Linked DNA regions of Diceros bicornis minor. The protein of the gene in region 1 interacts with the protein of each later gene in a pairwise test. Links are inferred from orthologs where the notes say so. Each region holds a gene or a part of one and is shown in the gene's direction. Other genes may lie near its edges.

Evidence for each region.
Region 2: the proteins of ESRRG (region 1) and NR0B1 interact in binary tests that used the Homo sapiens proteins (3 or more experiments, as listed by UniProt). The link is inferred for Diceros bicornis minor from reciprocal best matches to the Homo sapiens genes ESRRG and NR0B1.

What each region holds. Positions count from the first base shown.
Region 1 is NC_080777.1:16,076,558-16,084,577, forward strand, and holds the start of ESRRG (estrogen-related receptor gamma), read left to right. Parts: upstream 1-4,959; 5' UTR 4,960-5,078; coding exon 5,079-5,134; intron 5,135-8,020. UniProt on the Homo sapiens protein: Orphan receptor that acts as a transcription activator in the absence of bound ligand. Binds specifically to an estrogen response element and activates reporter genes controlled by estrogen response elements.
Region 2 is NC_080781.1:25,762,210-25,770,103, reverse strand, and holds the start of NR0B1 (nuclear receptor subfamily 0 group B member 1), read left to right. Parts: upstream 1-4,889; coding exon 4,890-6,060; intron 6,061-7,894. UniProt on the Homo sapiens protein: Nuclear receptor that lacks a DNA-binding domain and acts as a corepressor that inhibits the transcriptional activity of other nuclear receptors through heterodimeric interactions.

The sequences.
Region 1 (8,020 bases):
GTCATATTTGTCCTCCCTCCTTCTCTGTCTCCACTACTCCCCCCGCCCTCCTCTTGGAGTTAAGCTACCCTTTATTTTGGATAACACTATCACACACATGATTGAGTCAACAATTTATGGCTTTTAAAAATAGGGATTTTGTCCTCTCTTAGGTTTATTGTTTATCATAATCATCTTTCAAGTGAAAAGGCTAATTTACTCTTTCTATAGGAATATTTTAAGCTTGATTATCATAATATTACAGCTGCCTGAAAAGGTCTAAAACGGGACATTGACCTTGAATGTTTTCTGTGTTGAGCTCTCGGTGCTTAACATTCAGGAAAGGATATAACGGCAACTCATTTATTAACGTATAATCTCAAAATGTTAACTATTGCTCTGTAAATACATGGCATGCAGATTATAGAAAGCTTGTAGGAGACTATAAAAGGCATTTGGTATCTTACCAGGGTAAGTATGTTGGAAATACAACATAACTAAAGTCAGTTTTCCCATTGGAGCTACTGTAGTTTATAATTTAATTTTTACTCACATTTTCCCATGTATATTATTAGCTTGACAAAATGAAAGTGAAATAATCCTGAATTAATTAAACAGAAACCGAATTGCCTCTATTAGTTTCTCTGTCTTCCTTTGATTTTTTTTTTTTTTCTACTTTCACAAACACACTGGGAAAAGACTTTGGTGTGTATGGAAGTGAGCTAATTGCTCCCCAGAGAATGGGCTTTTTTTTTACACGGATTCGGTAATTTGGGAATAGGATGGATTTATAGGACAAGAGGTTTGTGAAAAGGAAAGGTTTTTATTAGTACTTCTGTGGAAGCGATCACTTTCCGGAGAAATGATTGCTTCTTGCCAATCGAGACAATAATTTAAATATCAAAGCCTGTGCCCTAGAAATGAAAGGCAACAGAAAATGAGGTATGATGGATTGATAGAGGTTTGGGGTAATATAAAATAGGCATACTGACTTCGAAAGAAGTCTTCATGTTCTCAGTGGGAAAAGTGTGTTCTTAAGGAGGTTTATAGCATAGAAGAAATCCCAATGATGAGGAAACCAGGGACAGAGAGGTGAGGAGACCTGCTCAAGGCAACACAGCTCGTGAAGGGGCAGAAGGGAGCCTGGGGTCAGGCCTCCTGCGTGTCCTTCAAGATTCTTTCTCCAGGGATGTTCTTTGGGGGTTTTCTTTTGAAGTTAAAGATAGTACAGTAGGGAAGATGGTTTAAAAAGTTAAACAGCTTTTCAAAGGTTTTATGATCTTGAGGAAAGATCTGAAAAGGTAGATTACAAGGCAATTTGAAAATCTAACTTGACGACACCTTGTTTAGTTTTAAATATTTAACAAATGGCAAAGGTGCCATATAAAATCAAAATTTGCTTCAAAAATAGTGTGGCCACTAGGAAAATTTTAATACAGATTAGTCCTCGTAATTTTCAGAAAAGGAAGGTGGGAACGTAAAATAGCTATTAATATGCAATACTAGCAAGACTAAGCATTTCTCTTAGCAACCTAAGAATTCCTTGTTAGAATGTTTTAGGAAATGATTCTGAGGAAAATACAACAAAATTGCTGGTATAGACGAGAGGAATCTACCGTTTGTTTTCACTTGAGTTTTGTTTGTTGCCATTTCGTTCTTTCAAATGGAAATGTATATTTTCTGTTTAGTGTCTGTGCCTTTAGTTGAGGTTTGAGAATGAAGTCATTTGGGTATTTGTGACCTCATTGTTTAAAGAAGAGATTGGAACTATGTGTATACCCAGGACCTGATGTATAATAGACTGATACTAACTAATGTATTAATATTCTTTGTGAAATAATGATCAGAAGTTCTTTTGTTTGGTTTCATTTATCCTGCTTTGGGTAGACTCCTTGTGGTAAGATTGTGAAGTGTATAGACTGATTAGCAATATGTATTTATTCTAAGCTGTTTATCTATTTATTTGTTTTATTTTTTCCCAAATCCTTTGCAGTTGGGATTCTTAAAGGTTTGTGCTCAATATTGCTCCTGGCATGTTTATTTCCTGTGATTATCCACTCTTTCCTCCTGCAACGTGAGAAAACTGTGACTAGGAAAGATTCTGGAGACAACTAAGCTGTGTGTTTATAGAATATTCTGGAAGCTGTCTCACGAGTTTAGTGCAGTAGATATTATTTTAAATTTTAAATTGGTTAAACTGGATTCAAGACAGTAGGTGTAATCTTAGGTCCTTGACTTGTAGACGTGACACATTGATCCCAAGAGGACAACATACAGCTCTACAAACCTAGTGCACTTCTGGTCATTCAGAAAGCAGCTAGCTTAGTGGACACTGCACATTGCATAGATGAAATATGGTGAGTGAAGGATGAGGGGAGACTATACTGTGTATTTGTACATGGATCTCTGTGAGCACAGAGAAAAGACTTACACGAGTATGAGTCTAAATATGTTTAGAAATATATACCAATGAAACCAAATGGTTCACAATGGGTCAGATAAGTAGCCAAAGGGAAATAAGAAAATTCCAGGAAATAAAAGATAACTCCTATGAAATGTAGTGACTTAAAGACCATCGGTAAATAATTGACTACAAATCTTGTCTTTAAAAAGCCATTTCAAAGGAGTAATAAACGGGTTCTGTCACAGCATGATAATGCAAAGAAACTGAATACAGTACATGATTCTGCACAGGTGCAAAATCTGAATGTGTTGAGTACATTAAGATGTGTTGAGTACATTAAATAATTTTTATTTTTTTAAAAAAGTCTCTGGACAAAATAAAAAGGAAACTTTTTTTGGTATATCTTTTAAAAATGTGTACAATTGGATTTATTAATTGCCCTGAGAATTTTAGTTTATTCAGAAATCAAGAGAGTAATCTTTGAACCAAAGCTATTTTCCTGTCTTTCTAGTGCAGTATTAGCTTCCCCATTTCTTTTATCATATTTTAGAAAAATCATGTTTCTTTTTTCAAATGCCTTTTTATTTATTTTTTTTAATTATCAAATGATTACATGTCTCATTTTAGATTGAATAGACAAATCTTTTTTTCGGGTGTCTGCAGGGGCTTGGATTTTCTGCTACATCTCAAAGCTCTTTTAATTCACTGCTCACAACCAAATTTACATCTTAATTGCAGAGTTCACATTTAACAATATAGACAGCATAATGCTACTGGTAATTAAGCTTTTACTACCTGCTTTTATACAGTATTCTCAGGCACAGTTTTTGCTATGTGAGTTCTCATCTACTAACTTGTCTGCATTTAGACCACAAATAAAAAGAATCAGGCCAATATCTTAGATATGGCTAAATACATGGCAGGGAAATTGCTCTCTTCTTGGGGGGACCACATCATGTCTGTCATTTTTATGTTCTGAATTTTAATGTGGCTGTTCTGTTTTAGTGTTTTGTCTTTTAAAGACCTCGGAATTTGAGAGGGTTGAGAAAAAGAGTTGGGTTCTGATTTAGTGAATTTAACACACACCAAATATCTGAACTAATTTATTTTGATCTCAAAGATTATACTATTTATGTCTGTAAGACAAGATGCAAAAGCTTGGTAAGCAGTAGAGCTGAATTATATCAAAACTGTGGGTCTTTCAACTCTCCATAAGGTAGCATTTATCTCTTTGCCATAAATAGCTTGTATCTATTTCAATATCCATTTGCTAGTATAAAAAATTCTGTATTTTAAAGTGGACCTAAGAAAACTCTGTTACATGGAAACTAAAAGCACGCTATATACTATTGGAGGAAAAACACCCTTCTCTTCTTAGATCCTCTTTTTTTAAAAACAACACTTTTGATTAAGTCTTAGTTTTGCAAATTATTATCTGTTTGAAACTAGTCCTTATAATGACCAGACTGTGTGATGATTTACAAACTGTTTCTGAGTGGATTTTTTAAAGCCTTTAGGGTGTGTTACGTGTAGAAACAAATATGTAAACTGCATTTTATTCGAAAGCTCATGTTTTGGGTAAAATCATATATATTTGTATATGTCTCCCAGTTTGGAAGCTTGTATTGAAATAAGTATATGATTAAGAACATTTCAGCGCACTGTTCAGTAATGCTCTCCCTTCAAAATGCGTTGAGATGGATTTAATGTTCTTTTTACCCCACAGCCCCCGGTCTCCCACCTCTGAAGCTGAAAAAGCCAATTTGCCCTACAGTTGTTTACGTTTGTTTTGAAAAGCTATGCATTGTCTATCGATATGTAGAGAGACAGCAGCAGGTAAAGAAATATTTACACGTGTAATTTACATGGGCATTTTCTCAAATTGTCCTGATGCACTATTTCCTCTTCCGTAGTTGTGTAAAACTGCATTCCACCTCAGGGATGACGATCCCAGTTCCTATGCCCGAAGCATTTGGAAGAACGTCTTTGATTTCTAAAATGCCCGGGATACATCAGGAAAACAGGAAAAGACACGAGTACGAATAAACGAGAAAGCACCTCACTACACCAGAAGCAGCCCCCAGTGGAATAAAACAGACAACGGCTGGACAAACTTAATTCTCTACCTTCCGCAGAATCCTTTCCCAAATTAACTGAGAGTCTGCGTGAGTTCTTCTTTGCCAGGCAAAAGAGATCTTAGGTTAGAAAGCAAAGAAAAATCCCTCCAGTGCTTAGAGAGTTAAGTTAGTTATGTTTCTTTGGTAGCTTCCGAGGGAAAAAAAAAAAAGAAAAGAAAAAACAGTCTCTAATGGGAGCGTTGCAATCTCCCTCGTCCTCGCTCTCTGTTTCTCTCCCACTCCCAGTTTTCAGCCCCCTTCCCTCTGTGCACCCTTGCTACCTGCCTGGCTCGCTCGCTCGGTGCAGCCTCCCGTCGCCTCCCTCCTGATTGGGCAGAGGCCCCCCAATCGGCTGCGCGCCTGGGCCGGTGGGACTGCATATGTAAAGCCCTACTTCATATTAATAAGCTCCAATCGGGGCTTTAAGTCCTTGATTAGGAGAGTGTGAGAGCTTTGGTCCCAACTGGCCGTGCCTATAGGCTTGTCACTAGGAGAACATTTGTGTTAATTGCACTGTGCTCTGTCAAGGAAACTTTGATTTATAGCTGGGGTGCACAAATAATGGTTGCCGGTCGCACATGGATTCGGTAGAACTTTGCCTTCCTGAATCTTTTTCCCTGCACTACGAGGAAGAGTAGGTACCTTTTTCTTTCCTTTTGAAACTCGTCGTGGGGGTGCGTGCGTGGGGGTAGACAGAAGGTGTCTTTGCACACTGATTCAGGTAATGCCCCGGGTGTGTTGCGTGCACGAGTGCTTGTTTGTGTCTGTCTTGTGCCTTTTGTGTGGAGGGTGAGCTCCTAATTCAGCAAGTCGAGAATTGTTCTCTGACTACAGTGTTACCTTTGAGTCGAAGCTCAGTTGGCTGTCGGTAAAACAGCTGTGTGACAGTCACTTCTTATTCAGGTGCTAAGAATAGGCACTTGGCACAAATGCTTAGTGAACTGTTAAAACGCATCTTTTACTAGGACCCATTTTCCCAAGGAAAGATGTTTTAAAATACAATATTCAAAATGATTTATCGTATTGAGTGCCTCTTATGTATTTGCAGTTTGACAGATATTTCCAGCTCCCTGTCATTTCTGACCGCGCAGAGTTAGAGGCAAAATTGCACATTTACTAATTCTCCTTCGGAGAACAATTTAAAAACTAGCCCTCTGCATTTCAGGGCTAGAATAATGTTATTTGCATGGTTAGCGTTAAGTCAGCACTTAACTGACAAATCAGTCCATTAAGTAACATGAGATTTTCACACATTATAAATATTTAAGGAGAGAAAAAACTAAAGATAAAACAGCAGTGACTTTTAAAATTTCCCCTTGAATAGACAATGCTGAGATTGTGGATTTATTTCATGTATCGTGTCCAGAAAATCTAGAAAAGTACTTTTGTTCTTAAATGCAGTTTAATTCATATTTGTGAATATCTTTATGCACATGGAAACATATATATATATATATATATATTTGGATTACTCAAGGTGAGAGAGAAGTGAGTAGGGGGTAGGAGAAGTAAATTAGGCATTCTTGTGTAAATGAAGAGGTCGTAAACTTAATTTCAACCCACTGTTAAGATAAAATATTAGTATATCACGGGAGCTGTCACTGGTTCATCTTTCTGTTGAGTCAGTTATATTGCTTTGCTTTCACATTACGGTAATACCAACTGTTATAATTCTGAAAAGAGTGCTCTTGGCAAACGTTTCTCTCTATAGATTGTGGAGAAAATATAAAACTCTAGAAGACGAGGTCGTGCATTAGAGGTAGATGGCCACTAGCTGCCCTTAGTGACTGCATATTGCATTGCTTTGTAATTAAGTAAGGGAAGAAAGTGGCTTGCCGTCTCAGTGGCTGCTCGTGTGTGAGAGAGTGTGTGTGTGTATATATATGTATGCATGCTCTCACACACATACACACTCACACAAGAGATATTAACCAAGAGATGGACTTAGGAGAAACTGAAAGATTGAAAGGCTGTGCCTGCATCAGTTTAAAACACGCAAAGGAAGAAACAAACTTAAATTGTGTGAAAATAAAAATGAAATATAAACAAAGGTAGAACTGCTCACTTGAGTGTAGTTTAAAGGTTAGTGCACCTGGAACTGTAGTACTGGAGAGTTTAAAATGTCTTCATGTCAGGAGGAATGCATTATCCAAGCTCACCCAGATTCTGAACTTTCTCTTGTAAATAAATAAACAAAACAAACTTTAAAAATCCCCTGGAGGCTTCTTTTAAAAGTAGTTTCCTTGAATTGAACTTCTTATAGCCAATTTGAATAATTTAGATAAGCCTCTTAAAGCAGATGCGTTGAAATGAAATCAGGGCACATGTCCTTTTGGCTTTGGCGCAAGATTCAAAGTAGCTTTCTTTTTGGCTCAATTAAAAGTCATCTTTAAAAAATACGGATTTATTGTCTGGATGCAGTTCTGATGGTTACGTGGTTCACTGGACAGACAGAAAGATCTAATGCTAAGCAACGCATCTGCCTTTCTGTCTCAATTAATAAACCACAGAATTTATACATGCTATTAATATTTATAGTAATTGTACTGGGTTAAACCCCATCACGTGTCTGTGTATACATGGAAACGAAACCAGAGTTATGCAGTTTCAGAGGAAAATATCGGACAATTTCTGCTTCCGAGGCTGTTAAAAAGATTCGTGCAATTTATTGACCACCATTAGGAGAGCCTAAAATGTTAACCTGTAACTATGTATTTTTTATTTTAGATGTGCCAGCATATTAAAGAACATAATACTTGCAAGCTTGTTTCACATTTAATAGCAGTAATAACTGATAGCATAAATAGACGAAAATAATATATCTGCTCATTTTGACATATGTGTCAGTCTAATCATTCTAAATGAGCGTGCTTGTCACATGAGTCCCTTTCAACCTCTGATTAAAATGTAACATTGACTACAGGATTATAGAGCGGACTTAATTTTACTGACTGTTTTAACAGTTGTCACAGCTGTTGGAAGAAGGAAAGGCAATTGAAACACTCCAAAACAGGCAGGGCGAGGAGGGAACAGTTTAGTAAATTTCAGCCCGATCCCTGAAATCCAGACATTGAAAATTAAACAGATTTATGTTTTAAGGTTCCTGTTTGGAACTATGCAAGTTTCATTTTGTCTGGTCCACTCTTTCTGGTTCAGAGTTTTGAATATTTTTCTCTGCTTCATCTCGCCTGATGAAAAGCTAGAGTAAATTGAAATACAACTATCCAAAAGTAATATTATAATATAAAAAATATATGGGATAAAAATAGGAAGGAAGGAAAAATTTATACAGTAACAACAACAGCAAAAAGCCTAAATCAGAGTGGATGCAATTTTTTAAAAAAAATAGGAGCTTGCCCAAGTCTCTTTAAATGTGATATTATTTGAGAACTATGAACAGACACTTTAAGTTTATTTTTCTAAGAAAGGATACTTAAACTCCAGACTTGGAGCTCATATTACTTTTCTTCCTGTTTCGTCTCTATAAATCTGTTGAAAACACCTGAAGCCTTAAAGGTAG
Region 2 (7,894 bases), on another chromosome or scaffold:
ACTTAAACCGTCTATAGATGAGGAAGAAACTTTTCACTCATTGTTTCATTAAGCAGGTGTTTGTTGAGGGTCTTTAATATGCCAGGCAATGTACAAGGTCCTCTAGATATAATCATTGTGGGAAGTACACTGCTAAGCAAAGTTGGACGGGAAAAGAAAGCAATTTCCTGGGAGGAAGATAGTATAACAGTTCCAGATCCTGATACAGGAGGAGTCTGTAGCTAAAATTACCATCACCATTAGGGGACATAGCTATGCGGATCAATGCAGCAATGATTTTCAAACTCACCCGTCAAATCAATTCTAATTGTTTGTCAACCAATGGGATAACCATTTTTAAACCTGTCAGTCCACTGAATTTATTAATTAGATAATTTGATCAACATCTGGTACTGGGATGGATTCAAAATTGGTAGATGCAGTAAAATAAATTGATTTGATGAACATTTTTCCTTGAACAGAGTGGTTGACTGATTTGGAAAGTTGATTTTAGAACATTTCAGAATTACCATGAGTATGAGTCCTTATTCCATTTCAGCAACTATGTGACCTCTAAGGCAGGTGATTGCCTTCTTTGTAGCTCATCTGAAGGAAATAAATAATGATGACTTGATCTTTAGGGGTTTCATGAGTCAGCAGCTAAAGCTTATTAATTCTTACATAAATAGAGCTTTAAACATTCTGGGTCTTGGAAAGGAAAAATAGGGAGACTATCTCTTGGATTTTATCAGCCACTACTCTTCTATAATAGTGTTTACCCAATATTTACCTTGAAAAATAAGGAAAACACTATTGTTACTCCCTGTCACCTATTTACTAAAGGAACTGAATTCTGAGGCATTGCAGCTCTTTTAAGCCTCGATTGAGAATTCGTATCAGGTTTCAGATCATCACGCCTTTCCAGGTCAAGAGCATCTTGCTGTGCAAAGGTTAGTTTTACAATTTTACCCGGCTTTCTCCCCACCTGTACTTCACTCCTACATCCTTTAGAGAAAACTGCATTACTTTGAAGTTGAAGGTTGCATTCAGGCAGGCAGAGCTGCTTTACTCCCACCCTGAGTTAGAACAGATAATGGATTCCGCAGAGCAGGTGTCCAACTGACCAAGGTCATCGAACAATGACTCAGTGTAAATATCCAAATTGCAGTTGTGGACAAACTCAGCATATGACAGGTGCAGTTGATGAGTGTCCTTTTGTCTTGCTGTCACAGTGGTCTAAGGACATGGGACAAATCAAATGAAGAAGCTATGCCTGCCTTAGAAGGTTACGTCTTCACTAATCCTGTAGCAACCAGCAGGCTGGCATTGCTTGGTGCAAAGCTCTGCACTGCTGTGTTTGGATGATTTTGTTTCTCAGGAGCTATCTGTTCAGGGAAAAAATGGAAAGGGGAAAGATGAAGTCAGTTTTCTCCTGACAGTTCCAAGGATGAATACTTGCGAAGGACAAACAGGCAAGCTCTCCTTAGAAACAGTCAATCCAAAGAAGCTGGGAAGTCCTCAGAGTTATGAACAGAAAGTCACAACTTCAAGAAAAACACAAGTAAGAAAATCAGGAGATTCTGCTCCTGGGAAAGAACAGGAATTATAACCAATATATTACAAGTTCATGGTTCTCAGCACCGTACTGAAATTTCATTTTGAGACAATGCCTGAAAGTCAAAGACATCAAATAGGTGTGAGGTGTGAATGATTAAAGTCACAAAAAATGGGTTGTTACTAGGATTTTAAAAAATATACTTGATAAGATGAAAGAGTTTTAGAAAAACCTTTAAATTATATAGGGCTAGGGTACATATATTAAAATAGTCTATGGCATTTTTTTCTGGTTTCATAGCTGAAAAGGCTAACATAATATTAAATGCCTTGTTCAATGCTAAATCATTAGAAAGTGAACGAGTGTAAACTTAAGTTACTTTATATTTTTGATATAGTGAAGAGGTCAGCAAACGTTTCTGTAAAGGCCCATATTGAGAGAAAAAAATAATAATAACCCTTGAAGGACTTAGAACAGGGTGGATGTATTAATATTGTTATATAGAATTTTTCCCCATTTCACAAGTGTGAAGGCTGAAGTTAAATGACTTGTTCAATGTTATATGTTTAGAGTAGAAGAGCCCAAATCCAAAGCCATGTCTTTTGACTGTTAACTCAATTCTCTTGTTACTTAATCACAGTGCCTGCAGCACTCTGAATATCACAAAAGGCCTCCAGAAAGCTCTGAGTCCAACAGGGCCTGCTAACTCCTCCTTCTGCCAGGATCAGCACAGCAATAGTGTCCTGTGTGTTGAGAGCAGAAGATACACCCTTCTCCTCTTTCTCTAAAGGCACAGTTGGCCAACAAATATATTTTTGAGCACCTACTGTATGCCAGACACTGTCCTAGTTGCTGGGACACAGAGTGACCAATTCCTTGCCCTCAAGGGACTTTTATACTAGTTGAGGGAGACAATCAACAAGCATCAAATAACTAAATACATCAATCATATCAGCTCTGATAAGTGATAGGAAGAAAATAAAATGGGGTAACATAAAAAGTAACTAGCACTGGCAACTTAAGGTGGGGGCTGAGGTAGGCTGGGTTTTTCAGCTAGGCTGGTTGGTGGATGCATCAAGCACGAAGATTGCTGAAGTAGCAATAACAATACCCAAAGAGTAGCTTGAATATTGGAAATGGCAAATGATGAAATGGACAATGAGGTAACATTTCTAATACATATTACTGTTGTGGACCAGATGGCCCATCCAGTGTTTTGAGTCTGGTCTAAGAAATGTGGACATGCAGAAAAAAAATGAGACAACTTCTGGGTGGAGGGATAGGGTGGGCTTCCCTGGCAGAGAGAGAATAATGGTGGTGCTGGTCTAGCATCAACTCCTAACCCTGAAGTTATCACATGTTATCTTAAAAAGGGGGGGGATAAGAGTTGATACATCCAACACTTATCGTGTACCAAACAAACATTTTACATGCATTAACTCATGTATGAGGATTACCTCACAGAGATTATTGTCCACATTTTACAAATAAGGAAACTGAGGCACAGGTGGCTTAAGTAACTTTTCTGTGAAAGGCTAAATAATGCCGCCCAATGATGTCCATGTCCTAACCCTCAGAACCTGTGAATATGTTATCTTTCATGGTAAAATGGACTTTGCAGATGTGATTTAATTAAGAATTTTGAGATGGGGAGATTATTCTGGATTATCTGGGTTTGCCCAATGTAATTATAAAGATCCTTAAACAAGTCAGAAAGGAGATGGAAGCAGAGGTCAGAGTGATACGGCCAGGAGCCCAGGAATGCAGGCAGCTTCTAGAGGCTGGAAAAGGCAAGGAAATAGATTCTCTCCTAGAGCTTCCAGAAGGAATTTTACCTTGATTTCAGGCCAGTGAAACTGATTTCAGACTTCTGGCCTCCAGAACTGTAACATAATAAATTTGTGTTGCCTTAAGCCACTAAATTTGTGGTAATTTGTTATAGCAGCAATAGGAAACTAATACATCGCCCAAGGTCACGGAGCTACAGAGTGTCAGGGCCAGAATTAAAATTGAGGCAATCTGGTGCCAGGGCCAGAAGTTTAACCACTGTGTTATTGGGCCTCTCACAGAAAGAATAAAATTTCAGGTTGAATGCAAAATAAGTGTCTCCTAGGTTTTCCTCTTATACTCAGAATTCCACGTCCCAGAGAAATTAAAACATGAGAAAGGGGATCCTACACCAGCTAGTTTATACAGGTCCCCTTCTCTATGTCTTCAGTCCTGGACCCAAGAGATCACAAAGGAAACCTTCTATTTTAGAGGTGAGGAATTTGAGGACTAAAGGGTTGTGATTTTGAAGTTACCCAGCTGGCTGGTGAAATAATCTGCTAGTTACACAAGGGGCACGTGGTGATGTGGGAGACCCACTGATCTCAGTGCCTTTGTAAAATGAGAAAGGAGGCTGTGTGGCAAGTGAGGACCAAAGGATCCAGGTTTCCTGAAACCTATGTTTCTCATTATTCATTTAGGAAGGGTGGGAGAAGAAATGCTAATTACACATCTATCCAATGCAATACTTCTAGAAGAATACAAAGTTTTCACTGGAACAACCGTTTAGCCCCTTGTGATTATTATATTCCCAAATATTAGCCACTTTTATGTCCTGGTCACTGCCCCCAGCTCTCTAACACAGCATCCAGGACAGAGTGGGGGCTCAAAAATATTAATTGCATTAAACAAAACGCTTATGATAGCATCTTTAGATCAGCGCTTTTCAAAATTTAAGGTGCAGGCCAATCCCCTGGGGGGGGTGCTTGTTAAAATGCAGATTCAGAGTCAGCGAGTCTAGTTGGGGCCTGAAATTGAGCATTTCTACCAAGTTCCCATATGATGCTGATACTGCTAGTCCATAGTTTATATTTTTCAAGGTCCCTGAAAATGAGATCTCTCCATCCATATATAAAATATGTCATACAAAGTTTGATCATTTAATGAAAGTTTGCAAAGATGGCATAGAAATAGACTTTTTCCTTTTTAGGCACCTCTGCCCTTCCAATAAAGGAGGCAAATTAGATGCCAGGGTTCAATGGCAAGAGTTGGAACAGTGCCCCAAATACCTGCTCCCTGAGCTCTGCTCTCAGTCTTCCAGAGGCAGGGAAGGGTGTAAAGAGAGGAAGGAGGGAAGTGTCCAAGAGCTCCCATGCCTTCGTTCCTCTTTCATTTCCAACCTTTAAGGAGCACCTGCTCCTTCTGAACCGCCGAGGTCACGGACAAATACGCCGGAGCGCAGCGCCGCGCCCCCCTCCGCGCGCCCTTGCCCAGCCAGAGACAGCCGACGCGCGTGCGTGCGCGCTCGGTATAAATAAATCCCAAGCGGCGGCCACTGGACAGAGCCAGGCTGCCGGCACCGCTGGCCATGGCGGGTGAGGACCACCAGTGGCAGGGCAGCATCCTCTACAACATGCTCATGAGCGCGAAGCAAACGCACGCGGCTCCAGAGGCTCCCGAGGCGCAACTGAGGAGCCCGTGCTGGGGCTGCTCCTGCGGCGCGGAGCCCCCGGTGGGCAGACAGGGGCTGCCGGGTGGGCGGGCAGTGGTGCTCCTGTACCGCTGCTGCTTTTGCGGTGAAGACCACCCGCGGCAGGGCAGCATCCTCTACAACATGCTCACGAGCGCAAAGCAAATGCATGAGGCTCCAGAGGCGCCCAAGGCACGGAGGGAGGGCTCGTGCTGGGGTTGCTCGTGCGGCGCGGAGCCCCCAGTGGGCAGAGAGGGACTGCCGGGTGGGCGTCCCATGGCGCTCCTGTACCGCTGCTGCTTTTGCGGTGAAGACCACCCACGGCAGGGTAGCATCCTCTACAGCTTGCTCACCAGCGCAAAGCAAACGCACGTGGCTCCGGAAGCTCCCGAGGCGCGGCCGAGGGACGTGCGGTGGGACCGTTCCTACTGCGCGCAGAGGCTGGTGGGCAGAGAGGAGCTGCCGGAAGGGAGAGCAGTGGCGCTCCTGTACCGCTGCGGCTTTTACGATGAAGACCACCCGCGGCAGGGCAGCATTCTCTACAACATGCCCACGAACGCAAAGCAAACGCACGCGGCTCCTGAGGCGGAGCAGGGGGCCCCCTGGTGGGACCCTTTCTGTGGCGCGCAGCGGCGAATGGCCCTCAAGAGTCCACAGGTGGTCTGCGAGGCAGCCTCCGCGGGCCTGTTGAAGACGATGCGCTTCGTCAAGTACTTACCCTGCTTCCAGGTGCTGCCCTTGGACCAGCAGCTGGTGCTGGCGCGCAGCTGCTGGGCGCCGCTGCTCATGCTGGAGCTGGCCCAGGACCGCTTGAACTTCGAGACAGTGGAGACCTCAGAGCCCAGCCTGCTGCAGAGGATTCTCACCACCAGGCGGCGGGAGACCGCGAGCGAGGAGCCGCCGCCCCTGGCCACGCTGCAGCCACACTTGGTACCGCCGCCAGAGGCCGGGCATTTGCTGTCGGCCGCCCAGGTCCAAGCCATCAAGGGCTTCCTTGCCAGGTGCTGGAGCCTGGACATCAGTACCAAGGAGTACGCCTACCTCAAGGGGACCGTGCTCTTTAATCCGGGTAAGGGTTCCAGCCTTGAGCTCTGGATTTTCTCTGCTCAGAAAAGTGTTGGGCAGTGCCTACCCTGGGCACAGGCAGGGGCACAAGTGAAAAATCGCAGCTAACTCAGCAGAGTTGGGGGAGGGGGTCCAGAAACCACTTCTCGTGGGTGGGCCGCTGCCAGAAACTCAGCAGAGGGGAGGGGGCTGGCTTGTTGAGGTTTGTACTTGTCTCTCTACACCTTTCTGTTACTACAGAAGTTTGTGCCTTCAAGAGACATGGCTATTCCTTCTCCTCTAGTCTTTTAAATCTAGTAGCACAGCTTTAAAAAAAAGTTTGTGTTCACTGCTAATTCTGCAACATCTCATTCTGAAACCTAGTTCTGAAATTTACTAGAACCTTTTTGTTGCAGGAAATCTATTTGGGCTGGAAAGAAAGGAAGCATTTGTTAAGGACTCAGAGACCATCCTCTGGGGACACTGTCAGGACACTGGACTTAGTGTTTCATGGGTCTGACTCTGAATGGTCATTTTTATGATCCCAAGCAGCTGGATTATCTTATCCTCCAAGTGTCTGTGAGTATGAGGCTAGCAAAGGGGTAGGAAAAAGACACACTAGGGACTGGGAGCAGGAGCACCGTATTTTAGAGCTTGAAGAGACGGTAGAGACCTCCTAATCTACCCCCTCTGCCCTCCACCCTTCCTCCACCCCATTTGCAGGTTAGATAGCCTAGTCCCAAGTGACCTTACTCCAAAATAAATGGCCAGTGAGTTGTGGAGCGTGGGTCTCCTGTCTCCTTGCCTAATGGGAAGTCTGCTGTGCCAGACTTTCGGGTTGTCTGTTGGATGCTGGACACTCTGCCCCATACAGTGCAACCAAATCTTGGAAGATGATCTCTCTGGATAGCCCAATGCCTAGTGTCGAGTGTGTTCTACTACTGGAGTCATCTTCGACCAGCATCCTTCCAAAAGGGTCACAAGTGGGCAGGAAGTTTCCAGGCAGCTTGAGCTGTGATAGTCGTTATAATACTCCTTCCACATCCTTTTTTCCTGACACTAGGAATCTTGAGTTATATTCTTGCCTCCTGCCTAGCATTTTTTGAAGGGGTATAGAGCAGTATTTAGTGGGATAATAATTCATTCAGAATTCACATTTCAGGACCTAGAGACCTCAGCTCATCCCAGTGATCATTGTAGGTCACCTTTTGCTTATATCGTTGTTCTCCAAACTTGCCTGTGCATAAGAAACACTTGAGGGGCTTGTTCATAGTCTCTCCAGGACCCTACCCTAGAGATTCTGATTCAGTATCTCTGGTCCAGGGTCTGCAAATCTGCGTTCATAGTACGTGCCCTACGTGGTTCTTAAGATCGTTTGGGAAACAGTGTTTTCTTGCTCCGTCAGCCAATGTTGTTAAACATCTACCATGCCATGTGCCTTGTTCTGATGGAATACAAAAATGAGACGGGCTCGGCTTCCAGAAGTGTACATTCTACTAGTTTCCCGCTTTTCCTCCACCTCGTTCTACATACTGTTGTCACACACATACACGTTTCCTTTATTCTCACTCTGGTTTTCTGAATCCTCTCTCAATATGAGTTTAACCAGCTAAGCTGAGTGTATTTTAAACACACATGCATCTGCATTTGGGGAAATTAATGCCTGCTAAGTGTTTGGCCTTTCTTTGCTGTTTATCGTTTTGTATCCCCTGATCTTCAAAGTTTTTTTGTTTTGTTTTTACTGTGGAGTCCATCTATCCGCCTTTTCTCTTTTCTAAATTTACTGTGAAGGCAAGTCTTTCTTTGGGGGAGGGGAAGCCACTTTTCCTTGGGGTGGTGGAAAAGGAGGGGTGTGGTAT